Linked DNA regions of Mus musculus. The protein of the gene in region 3 interacts with the protein of the main gene of each other region in a pairwise test. Links are inferred from orthologs where the notes say so. Each region holds a gene or a part of one and is shown on either strand. Other genes may lie near its edges.

Region 1 (4,414 bases), on a different chromosome or scaffold from region 3:
GTGTAAAGGTTCTGGCCTGAGCCGGGCGTGGTGGCGCACGCCTTTAATCCCAGCACTCAGGGGGCAGAGGCAGGATGATTTCTGAGTTCGAGGCCAGCCTGGTCTACAAAGTGAGTCCAGGACAGCCAGGACTATATACAGAGAAACCCTGTCTTGAAAAACCAAAATAAAAAAAAAAAAAAAGGTTCTGGCCTGGAGCTAGAATTACAGACACTTCATGTGGTTGCCAGGACTTGAACTCTGGTCCTCTGGAGGAGCGGTATATGTTATTAACCAAGGAGTCATCTCTCCAACCCCTTTTCTGCTAGTTCTCACTCTGTCCATGCCTGCTATATATTCTTCAGGGTCAAAGCACGAATTGGAAGTTCTCAGAGACAACACCAGTCAGCAGCCAAAGACCTAACTCAGTCACCTGAAATGTCACCAACAACAATCCAGGTCACATACCTGCCTTCCAGTCAGAAGAGCAAACGCCCTAAGCACTTCCTGGAACTGAAGAGCTTTAAGGACAACTATAACACACTGGAGAGCACTCTGTGATGGGGCTGCACACGTGCAGCCGTGCAGCACTCGGGATGTCTGGTTCAGCAGACCCAGGCTTTATTGGCCAAAGCATTCTTACAGAACAGTGTCTAAAAGGTCATTCCCAACCCTTTCTGATATTGGCTAAGACCTCAGTATCTCCCAGTAGCACTTCTTCTGGATTTGAATTCAAATGTCATTCTTAACATTTCTGTTGATGCTTCTTTGAAAATCTTCGCTTGATTTTGGCTGTAAATCACCTACCCTGTTAAATGCTGTTTAATCCCAAGGATGTAAGTTGAGGTGAGGTGTCTTCTCTGTCTGCCCCATTGCACTCAACTGAATAGAAATATTTGGGTTTAGAGCATCTCAAAAGTGGGTAGAATGTCCTTTGGGATTTTGTTGCTCCGTTTAAACCAGGTGTATTGTGACATGAACATGACTTTCCTAAAGTGGAAGGATCTGTCCCCACCTTCACCCAGTCCTTAGGACAAGTAGAAAGGGGCATTCTGGCACTTGGCATAACCTATGCCACGATGGTGAGATAATGTGAAAAAGTGGTATCCTCTGATGTCAGCGTATTAGTCTCAGTTTACAAAGTACTTAATAAAACTAACTACTGTAAAACCATGGATCATTTCTTTAGAGTGGTCTTTAGAGCAACAGGCATTTGATGTGTGCTTACATTTTCCTTACAGGACATAGGGTGTGGAGTGTCGCTTCCAGAAACTGATTGGATTGTGTGTCTGGATCTAAACTACTGATAGTCTGAAATTCCAACAGAAGAAATCCTAAAATAGGGACTGTGTGGCTCATGCTTATAGCCTGGCCTTGTCACTAATAGAAAGCTGGAGAATCAGGATTCCCTTCAGGTCACTAGGGCAACAGGCCCAAGTAACCAGTCAACTACCAGGACTAGGGTCATTGTTGGACGCCTAAATGTTGCTATGACTACTGAAACCTTGGTGACCAAACTAAACAGAAAGGAGAGCCTTCCCAGTGTCCCCAAACTTAGCAAGCATGTCTGTAGTAGATATGTCTGCAGAAAAAATGACAAAACTAGAAGAGGTATGGAGGGTCGGAAAGAGGGTTGGGAGTTGGTGGAGTTTTCTTTGATATGGTTCCAGGTTATTTTACCCAAAGTACACCATTCCCGAGAAAGACCCTTGGAAGCATAAGGGAGAGTTGGCAATATATGGGAAACTGCTTGTGGAACAGAGTGGCTGTTTGCATAAGTCCCTCTGGCTCCTGTATTTTCTCTTCAGTCTGATTTCAAGATGTGGAGCTTTCCCACTTGCCCCTATGAAGCTCACTACTTCATTCCTCAAAAAGTGGGTACTAGTGGTATGCTTCTAGCAATCCAGGAGATCAACAGAACTCCCTTCTCTTGCAGAATTTGCAAAGAGCTGTGGCACTTAAGAAGACTGTCGACAGGTAATCTGTTTTCATCTGCTCTCATCAGTTTGTATTTTCTGCTCTCCTCTCCCTGAGGCACCACCGAAATCTGCTCTCCGTGAGGACTCCTCAAGAAGGAAAACACAGAGCAGAGAGAAAAACAGGGAGAGGAGATGAGCCTTGTCTTTCTCTGCCCCTGCTTCCCATCCCCTGCAGAAACGGCACAAGTGTTTGTTGTTTTGCCTTTCTTTTTTTGAATGTTCTTGTGTTCCTCACCTGGCTTTGTACTAATTATACATCAGGTATTTCAACAGTTGGTGAACAAGTGACAGTCCCTGGCAGGTTGAACTGCAGATTTCACCTGCTAACATTGTGATGTTTGTGGCACTGGGGTATATTGAATCCAGGGCTTTGTGCATGGAAGCATTCTACCACCAGCTGTATCTCCAATCTTCCTCTTTTTTTTTTTTTTTTAAGTGCTGGCAGAAGCAGCACAGAGAGGCCCATACCTATAATCTCGGTGCTTGGATGAGCATGAATCTGAGGCCAGCCTAAACTAACTTGTGACTGATAGACTCTCAACCCCAAAGGGAGGCGCAGTTTGGTGGTATTTGTTCTTTAATTTCAACACTATGGGCAGAGACGGGGCTCTCTTGAGTTTGTGCCCAGACTGGTCCACATAATTCCAGAGAATCAGGACTATATAGTGAGAAGCCTTTTAAAGGAGGGCACAGATAGCTCACTTATAGACTGTTTGCCTAGCTTGCACAGGACTTGGATTTATTTTCCAACAGAGATGGGCATCAGAAGTTCTGGGTTAGCTACAATGTGAGTTGGAGCCCAGTTTGGGTACATAAAAATGTTTTTTGGGTTTTTTTTGTTTTTGTTTTTTTTTTAGTTGCTAGGCAGTGGTAGTGAATGACTTAAACACAGCACTCTGGGTGCAGAGGCAGGTGGTTCTAGGGCTACACAGTGAAACCCTGTCTGAAAATAAAGGGTGGGGTAGGGCAGGGGAGGGGGACAGTGATGTAAGACCCAGAACAAGGTGACACAAGTGAGTTTCTTTCTCTGTGTACTATAACAGCTGACCTGCATCTGACTCTATTCATGGTAAGAGTTCAGTAACAGTCCACACTAGATCCTAAGTCAGTTCAAAGCAGCGGATCCTTACTACTAACTTACCAGTTTAATTCCCACCCCTACATCTGGGACAGGTGGCGGAATTTTCATATTCACTGTATGTGGCAGACAACATTGGACCAACGGAGAAACCTATTTGCTGCCCTAAGGATGAAGGATACTAAGGAACAGGAATTAGCACTGTCTAACAAACAGCTACTAGTGGTGAGTTCTAGGAGGGCAGCCTGGAGTCTTCCCCTTTGCTGCTCTGTGTTCCTGCCAGCCAGGATATCAAATTCCTCTCTCTCTCTCTCTCTCTCTCTCTCTCTCTCTCTCTCTCTCTCTCTCTCTCTCTCGACTTAACCATATCATTTGCCTCTGAGATTCTTTTTCATTATTTTATCAGAACATTAACATCACATGTCAAAGTTCTTTTTCAGTAAGTGATTATTTTTACATTTTCATTATTTGCAGGTGAGATGCTCTTTTAGCTTTGGGTTATTAAAGCTTTGTTTTCTTGGGTTCTTTGGGTTGGGTTTAGTTTGAAACAGGATCTCACTTTGCAGCCGTAGCTGACCTGGAACTTGCTAAGTAGGCCAGGTTAGCCTCCCTGAACTCAGAGCTCCACCTGCCTCTTGTCTCCTGCATGCTGGGATTAAAATGCATCACTACATCTAGCCAGGGGTCTTATTTTATGTATTTATTTTTAAGACAAGGTCTGGCTCTGCATCACAGGATGGCCTGGAACTTGCAGACATCAAGCCTCGAATATACTGGAATTCTAGGCGTGTCTCCCCAACCCCCACCCCAGCTGCAAGTGACACATTTCCAATTCCCAGTGCATCATAGTCTTCACTGTTTTCATCCAGTGAGAGCCTAAGCCGATGTTTCTCCTCTTGGGGGACAGTTGTGATGTCACTCTTATTTTCTTGAGTACCTAGCAGATTTTCTAGTTCATGGTGCATTCTCAGCAAAATATTTGTTGAACAATGAGTCTCTGCCTAAGGGAAGGGAAATTAGGTAGGCTTCCCCTCCAGTGATTCACACTTTCTTCTACTGCCTCCTTTTATGTCCCAGCTAAGTCCAGGTGCAACAGAACACAGGGATGGGAAAGGCAACCAGAGTCTGAGAAGAGGTGTTGAAGAGCCGACACCAAACACTTTATTGCCTTCCCTACCAGGTCCGTCAAGCTGCCTTACACGAGCTGTTTGAAAAGGAGTATCAGCAGTACCAGCAGGAACTCAATCAGATGGGCAAAGCTTTTTATGAGGAAAGACTCTGACAGCTGCCAAGACACTGTTCTTCCACCTCGTCACGCCTGCTAAGCAAGCCTTCATGCTTTACCCTGAGCTTCCCAAAACACACCTGGACCTGGAAC
Region 2 (3,647 bases), on a different chromosome or scaffold from region 3:
CTACCATGAGTTTACACCTCTGCCTCAGCTGTGCCTCCTCAGAGGAATGCCCTTTCCACAGACTATACTCTGGAGAATACCACTTTTTTCCTTTCCCTTCTGTTCCCGGATTTACCATCCTCCATGAGCTGTCTTCTTCGTTTTGCGTACTATGAGCAAGGATCTGTACCCCATGCTTTTCCAGTTCTTCCTTCAGCCTGTCCGGGAAGCGTGAAGGACGAGAATGAAAGCAGAAAAATCAAGAAAATATGAAGAGACATACCGGCAGAACAGGGGAAACAGCTGCCATTCACCTTCCTGGGAGAAATGAGGACACAGGAGCTCCGTGCCTACCTCTGCCGTTTCTGCTGTAGCTGGTGGCACCTCTGCTGCAGCTGCTCGTGCTGCTGAGCTGCAGCCTCTAGGAACTCCTCAGCTTTCTTGTTCTCATCCTTGAACATCTGCCTGATAGTGTGGAAAGAAGTCAGTGCTAGACATTTCCTCCTCCTGCCCCACCCTGCATCTTACATTGCTGCAGCTGCCTCATGGCTTCGGAGGAAGAGTCCCTCAATGAGGCTGGAAGAACCCTCAGGCCCGCCCAGGGCACACAGCCGCTGTCTCACATCCTCCAGCTTTACTTTCATCAGTTTCTCTACAGAGAGAAAGAGTAATAAGAAGGTAAGGGCAGGTTGGTGCAGCTGAGAGCCACCCTTCTGGCCCTGACCTCACCTTCCTTGAGCAGCTGCTCCTTGCTGCTGTCCAAAACACACATCTCCTTTGTCAGATGTTCAGGCTTCTGGGGTGGGGGGGCACAAACAAGAAGATATGTCCAGATCTCCTGGCTCCCCTGAGCTTCAGAGAAGCCTGTCTACATCTCATCATTTCTCCTCTCAGTAAGTTTCACTTCCGAGGACCCTGCCCCTTGGTGTGTGCCAGCTATGGTTTATGGATCTCGTCATTCCCTCTCCTCGGACCTTTAACCCTGTAATGAGGTTCTAGGGCAAGTATTCGAAACCCTAAAATCTGCAATCCTACAATCCTGAGACACTCTGAAGACTTAGGTATTAGCGTTTCTTCCTCTCTTCTCTCCTCCTGGCCTCCTCACTGACATAGAGAACACTGAATGGACACAGCAACATGAGTGAATGGTAAGGACCAATACTGAAGACACCAAGTATCTCAAGAGTGGTCACCAGGGACTGGATTTACGATGACAGCAGGACCACCAACCAATGCTTGCACAGGGACAAAGTATAATAGGTAGCATAGTGTTGTATGACTCACATGAAATTCCAAGGTGTCCTTATGTTGACTCATCAAAGTCTCCAGATGTTCTTCAAAATCCAACCTAGGAGGCAACCACAGAGCCATGATGGCCATGAACTACCACAGAGCTAGGCCAAGGTCTGAGTCTATATAGCACCCAAGGACTTCGTGTCCACTCTTACACAAGGAATAGCTTCACCCCTTGACCATCCAGGACTATGGCTGGCCATCCCGGGCATTACTATACCTATATCACGTCCCCAGCCCAAGCCTCACACCTTGAGGTTTACCTCAGTTTTCTTAGTTTGGCCTTCTCTTTGTCGATCTGGGAGTTCAGGAAAGAAATTCTCTCTTTACACTCCTGCAACATGCTGTGCTTCCTGGGAAAGAAACCAACACTCAGCCATGTTCTTTGAATGACTCTCCTGGAGGGAGGGCTGGGGGCTTCTATTCTGTTCCTCTGTATTCAAGCCTGTGTCTAGCAGAGCAGATGGTGTGGGAGGTAACAGGAACACTTAGGGAAACCACTGCAGGCATGGCATCTTACCTCTGTGCCTCACTTTCCTTCTCCTGGCAGTGCAGCTGCATAATCCTCAGGGTCTCTGTAAGGATAACAACAGTGCCCTCTGAGTGCTTGCTAAGGCATCTAATTTGGCAAATAGAAAAAAACATATCACATCAAGTCTGTGGACACTTGATTGGATTTTGACATTTTCTGGGTCTGGTAAAAGCCATAGGAATGTCACAAGGTTGGGAGTTCTTAAGTTTCTAGCTACTAGAGAGAGTGGGCTTAGATAGGGTATCACAAAGCCTAGAAATGGGTAATATGGGAATACCTTCCTTTCTGTTCAAAATATCCTTCAGACGTACTTTCTCTTCACGTACTAGAAAAGATGATGAAGGTTCAGGCATTAGAGACCAAACACAGAAACGTCAAGGGCAGTCATACGAGAGGCAAGTATAACTGTGACCCTAACCCAGATGCAGTTTCCTTGAGGTAAGTTCCTACCCCTACGGGTATCCACATTCCTGTAAACACAATGTGCCCTAATTTTCACAAAAGATATCCATGTCCATGTACAACAACCACTGGGACCAGGAAAAACAACACCAATCAAAAGGGCTATGTGATCAGGTAATGCAAGATGACTAAGAAAGACATTTCTAATAATATACAGCTGCTGGTGTGAGGCAATAACTTGTATTATCTAGGGCAATACATGGAGGATCATCTCTGCAAAGGACTCAGGGCAGAACAGGCCTCAAAGGCATTTCCACAGCCCTCCTGTTAGAAGATGGGACTGCTAGAAGAAATGAGGTTGGAGGAGAAGTCATGGCCCGGGTGTTTGCAGGACTGCATTAGAAGTCTAAGACATCATAGAAACCTCTAGTGACTCTCAGTTAACTTACGTAAGTCCAGTTCCTTCTGCAGGTTGTCCCAGACAGTCTGGGCCTCTCCAAGCTCCTCACTGGCTTTCTTTTTTGCTTTACCAAAGAGGAGGACAGACATTTGGTAAGTACAGCCTCAAGGACAAATGAGGAGATTTCACACTCTCCCCCCAAAGAAAACTTAGAGGGGGCCCAGATTTTACAAAGCAGGAAACAAGGCTTTCTAAATCCTGGCCCTTCTTGCTAGGCTCGGGTGGCAGCAGGGCTGTGTTCACAGGCAAATGACTATGGCGGTTACAGGCAGAAGGGCCCTGCACTTATGCTCTCATGAAATAACTACAGAGACTTTAACAAGGACCCCTGTATTTCCACTTTTTATTGGGCCTGGCCAGTTAAAACTTGTAGCTGGTCCTGGATGGCAGCCAATCACTGAGCTCACCTTGCTGAACCTCATTAATACGGTTAATCAGGACCTCAATCCGGGGCTCTAGGCTTCCCACTGCAAAGCAAAAAGGAAGCTCATTATTGATAGAGTGTGTCTAACCTGGGATTCTACAGCTTTTACTTTACAGAAATCTCCTAAGCATCTCACGTGTACAGGTGCTACATTACGGTCTCAATCTAGGATTGTGGGGACAAGGAACAGACCGATAGAGATACTGAGCCAAGCTGTAGGAACTTCAGTCAAGAGAAATGAAGCAAGGGGAGAGGTCCATAGGCAAAGGTCAAAAAGTGCTTCTCAGATATGGGAAAGTGTCTTGGGGGGCTTCCATCAAGGAAGGCAGGCCCTCAGGCTCTCTGGGTAAAGCAGTGGGTGCCCTGAGGAGGAAATGAGAAGGAAACAGGATACATATGATCAAGTAGAAGGTGGCAGGATGTAAAGTGGAAGAGGTTATGGGTAAAACCTCTGGATCTAACAGACTGCTGTGAAGTCAAAGGAGACCTGGGACGGTGCTTTGGGAAGACATATTGCCTTCTTCTGTTCACTCTCATGCTACTATAACTTTGAATCA
Region 3 (3,647 bases):
AGAGATCTCTTAGCTGGAAATAATACTGGCTGCAAAAGTGTGAAGGCCTGAGCTTGACTCTTAAGCACCTACCTACATAATGGCTGGGCCTTGTTCCCTGTGAGAACTCCAATCCTGAGTAACAGAGGCAGGAGCTCCCTGGAGCTCTCTGGCCAGCTGACCCAACTTAAAGCAAACTTCAGGTTCAGTGAGAGAGCCTGTGTTAAGACAATAATGTGAGAAATGACTGAAGAAGACATCAGGCAACCTCCTATATCATGTATGTTTGTAGGGATGCACACTTGCATATAACACACATATATAGAAGTAGATATATAGAGAGACCCCAAAATGAAGTAGGACAACTGTTTTTTGGGATTAATCAATATTTGATAAGTAGTTACAGATAAATGGTTATCATAGTCATAAATATTACGGTTAAAAGTTGGTATCTGTATAAAATGTCAAATTAAAGAGGCTCTAAGAGGGTCCCTTTCTTTGCATCACTTCATTGGCAATCACTTTAAAAAGTCAGCTCAGTTGGGGTTGGAGCCTAGAGAGAAGGCTCAGTTAAGGGTGCTAGCTGCCCTTGTAGGTCCCAAGTTTGGTTCCCGGCACCTACACCGAGCCGCTCACAGCAACTGTAACTCCAGCTGCTGGCAAGCCAACAGTGACTTCTGCACCTTCACTCACATGTACCTACCCACAGAAAGGGAGACACACATGAATACACATCTCTTAAAGGAAATACAATTTTTTTTAGTGATTGGGATGTGTACATAAAAAGAAATATGAGAATCTGTCTCTGTCACTCATAGCTGGTGAGTTACTGAAATAACTTGGTCTATTTAGGATATTCTAAAATATATATTTTAATTACAAACTTTTATCACTAGATTGGATTGGAAATAAAGCTTCACAGTATAAAATATAATTTATATACGTAGTTATAAAGTAATAGGATATAGCTGTCTTTTGTAAAATCAATTGGAGACTTTTCTCTGTAAGGCGTACGTTCTTCATAAGTATTCTTACTGTGTCTGTTTCTAGCATGATGTAAAGAATCGTCGCACCTTCTTAAAGCGGACCAAGTATGAGGACCTGCGCCTGGAAGATCTATTTATAGGCAACAAAGTCAATGTGTTTTCTCGACAGCTGGTGTTGATTGACTATGGGGACCAATACACAGCCCGCCAGCTGGGCAGCAGGAAAGAGAAGTAAGAACAGCCGGGCCATCTTTTTCCATTGAAACCTTGCCTGTGACTTTGGCCACTAACTTCTGATTTCCTCTCCTCGGTCATGTTTTCACAACATAGTTTTTCCAGCGACCTAATATAATTTTATAACATTAAAAATATTTTGGTACTGATTCAGGGATTGGTTCCTAATTAGAATATTGAAGCAATATCTGTAGTCTTAGGAGGTGACTGTTTGGATGGGTGGGTGGCAGAGATAAAGCTCTTACACATTCTATCTGCTTTTTATATTTGTCACTAAAACCTAAGACTATTTGAGCATAAGGTTTTCTTCCTAAGCATAAGCATGATGCTGGTACGAATCACGGTAACCCGGGAGACGGTGAAGTTAGTTCTTGCAAAACTGAAGGCTTTGTGGGTTTGTTCTGTCTTGATAAAACTGAATTAAATTATTACCCCAATTAGATGAACTGGGGAGAAATGCTAATCAAAGGAGTGAGTATAGAGAAAGATCCAAAGGTGGGAAATCCTGTCTTAAGTTAGAACAACTATTTGCTATCCTGCTTGTGTAAGTTGGGGGCTAAAACTTATAAAAGTTTAATTACTACAACAATGATCTGAATTATTATGGTAACAGTAGATATGCAGAAGAAGTAAGGAGTGTACGTGATTAATAGAAATGCAGCAGTGCATGCCAGGAAGCAGCTCAGTTGGGGCAGTGCTTGTCTAGCAAAGATGAAGCCCAAAGGCCTGAGACCTAGCCCCGTGTAAAACTGGAGGTGGTGGCACGTTTCTGTCATGCCAGCATGTGGGAAGTGGAGGTAGAAAGATCAGAAGTTCAAGATCATATTAGTTTACAGAGGGAGTCAAGGGCCAGCTTGGGTTACATGTGACCCTGTCTCAAAAAAAAAAAACAAAAAAACAAAAAAAACAAAAAAGACAAAAAAACAAAAAAACAAAAAAACCAAATAACAAAGATCAAAGACAGTTCAAGTTAAGAATGGAAGTTCTAGAAACTTTGGGTGAGATGATGATGAGAAGCTGCCTCAGGGCAATTTAACAGAAGAGATAGGCAAGGTAACAGAGAATAGACCCTGCCCCAAGGAGAGAGCGATCAGAACATCAGAAATCACAAAGCAAGAAGTAGCTTGCTCCAGGGAATTTTATTCAGCTATAGAGAGTGAAATTCTAACATCTGCAAGGAAGTGGACAGACCTGGAGATCATTACATTAAGTGAAAGAAGCCAGATTACTGAAAGATATCAAGTGGGTTTTTTTTTTAAATATGTGGAATATAGATAGATGGATAGGTGGGTGGGTGGATTGATGGATGGATGGATAGATAGATAGATAGATAGATAGATAGAGTATAGAAAGGGGACCATGGAGGGAAGAAGTTTAAAGAGAGTGGGGAGTTGGGGAGTGAGAAATTGTAATAAAATATACACGTCATAAAAGCTAACAGATTACTGGGTGAAGGGAAAGGGACTAACAAGAAGTGAGTCAGGATTAGGGAGGGCGGTGGGGTGTGAAAAATAGCAGACTATAACAAAAATATCACCATGAATCACATTATTTTATATATTAGCTAAAAATAAATTTTTAAAAGACAATTATGTCAACTATAATGTGTGGGCAAACAAAAAGGACAACCCAGTGGGACGGAGTGGGCAGTGCACTGCTCCACTGGGGCAGATCCCTGCAGGAGGACCTGGGGCAGGGTGGGACAGAAGCCTCATCTGAAAGGGGACAGAGGAAGGGACTGGGTAAGCTCGGTCTGTGAGTGAAGGTCAAGGAGGTACATTATGAAAATGGAACACTGAAGCTCATTGCTCTGCGCAACCACTAAGATAAATTTAAATACCAAAACCCAGAAATTCGGGACTGGATAGGACCTGGGGACGATTCTTCTCTTGCTGTCTTACTCATTTCCGTGTCTTCTGCATCCCTGAGCAAATCTCTTTACGCATTGCAAGAGCAAGGTTAATTTCACCTCCGAGTTTTGCAGCCTTCATTCCGTGACTTTTTTGGCTCAATGCTTTGGGTCCCTGCAGTAGAACACATTATGAAGGATATTGAGTGGTAGAGGAAGCTGTTTACCTCAGGGCACAAAAGGGTCTGCAGTCCTAACAGCCCTTCTAAGCTGTGACCTAAAGACCTCCCAGTAGCTGCACCACACACACACACACACACACACACACACACACACACACACACACACTGCACACTCTCTCGCACACATGCAGATACCCCCACATGTACCTTTTTATTATTCTTTCCTTACTGCTTGCCACCCTGATTTTCTTTAGTTTTGGTTTAGAAAGAAACAGAACCAATTGGAGATGCAGCTAAAAAGCAAGCTTTAAAGAAAAACCAAAAACCAAAACCAAAAATGGACTTAATAATGATTCTCTTCTGAAAAATGATTTCCCTTGCTATGAAATGGCATTTTACTTTTCATTGTCCACATTT

The links.
Region 1: the proteins of Nme7 (region 3) and 1700094D03Rik interact in binary tests that used the Homo sapiens proteins (3 or more experiments, as listed by UniProt). The two-hybrid records come from large-scale screens. The link is inferred for Mus musculus from reciprocal best matches to the Homo sapiens genes NME7 and CFAP141.
Region 2: the proteins of Nme7 (region 3) and Syce1 interact in binary tests that used the Homo sapiens proteins (3 or more experiments, as listed by UniProt). The two-hybrid records come from large-scale screens. The link is inferred for Mus musculus from reciprocal best matches to the Homo sapiens genes NME7 and SYCE1.

What each region holds. Positions count from the first base shown.
Region 1 is NC_000069.6:90,061,294-90,065,707, forward strand, and holds the start of 1700094D03Rik (uncharacterized protein C1orf189 homolog), read left to right. Parts: upstream 1-1,514; 5' UTR 1,515-1,557; coding exon 1,558-1,590; exon of another isoform or gene 1,591-1,915; coding exon 1,916-1,956; exon of another isoform or gene 1,957-2,048; intron 2,049-3,131; coding exon 3,132-3,261; intron 3,262-4,216; coding exon 4,217-4,318; 3' UTR 4,319-4,414. Other genes in the region: 4933434E20Rik (protein C1orf43 homolog), read left to right, coding at 345-540. UniProt on the Homo sapiens protein: Microtubule inner protein (MIP) part of the dynein-decorated doublet microtubules (DMTs) in cilia axoneme, which is required for motile cilia beating.
Region 2 is NC_000073.6:140,777,802-140,781,448, forward strand, and holds part of Syce1 (synaptonemal complex central element protein 1), read right to left. Parts: intron 3,134-3,647; coding exon 3,074-3,133; intron 2,731-3,073; coding exon 2,656-2,730; intron 2,130-2,655; coding exon 2,082-2,129; intron 1,848-2,081; coding exon 1,793-1,847; intron 1,626-1,792; coding exon 1,536-1,625; intron 1,328-1,535; coding exon 1,264-1,327; intron 776-1,263; coding exon 709-775; intron 632-708; coding exon 508-631; intron 445-507; coding exon 334-444; intron 198-333; coding exon 116-197; intron 1-115. UniProt on the Homo sapiens protein: Major component of the transverse central element of synaptonemal complexes (SCS), formed between homologous chromosomes during meiotic prophase. Requires SYCP1 in order to be incorporated into the central element.
Region 3 is NC_000067.6:164,331,583-164,335,229, forward strand, and holds part of Nme7 (nucleoside diphosphate kinase 7), read left to right. Parts: intron 1-1,029; coding exon 1,030-1,196; intron 1,197-3,647. UniProt on the Homo sapiens protein: Possesses an intrinsic kinase activity. Displays 3'-5' exonuclease activity with a preference for single-stranded DNA. Does not seem to have nucleoside diphosphate kinase activity.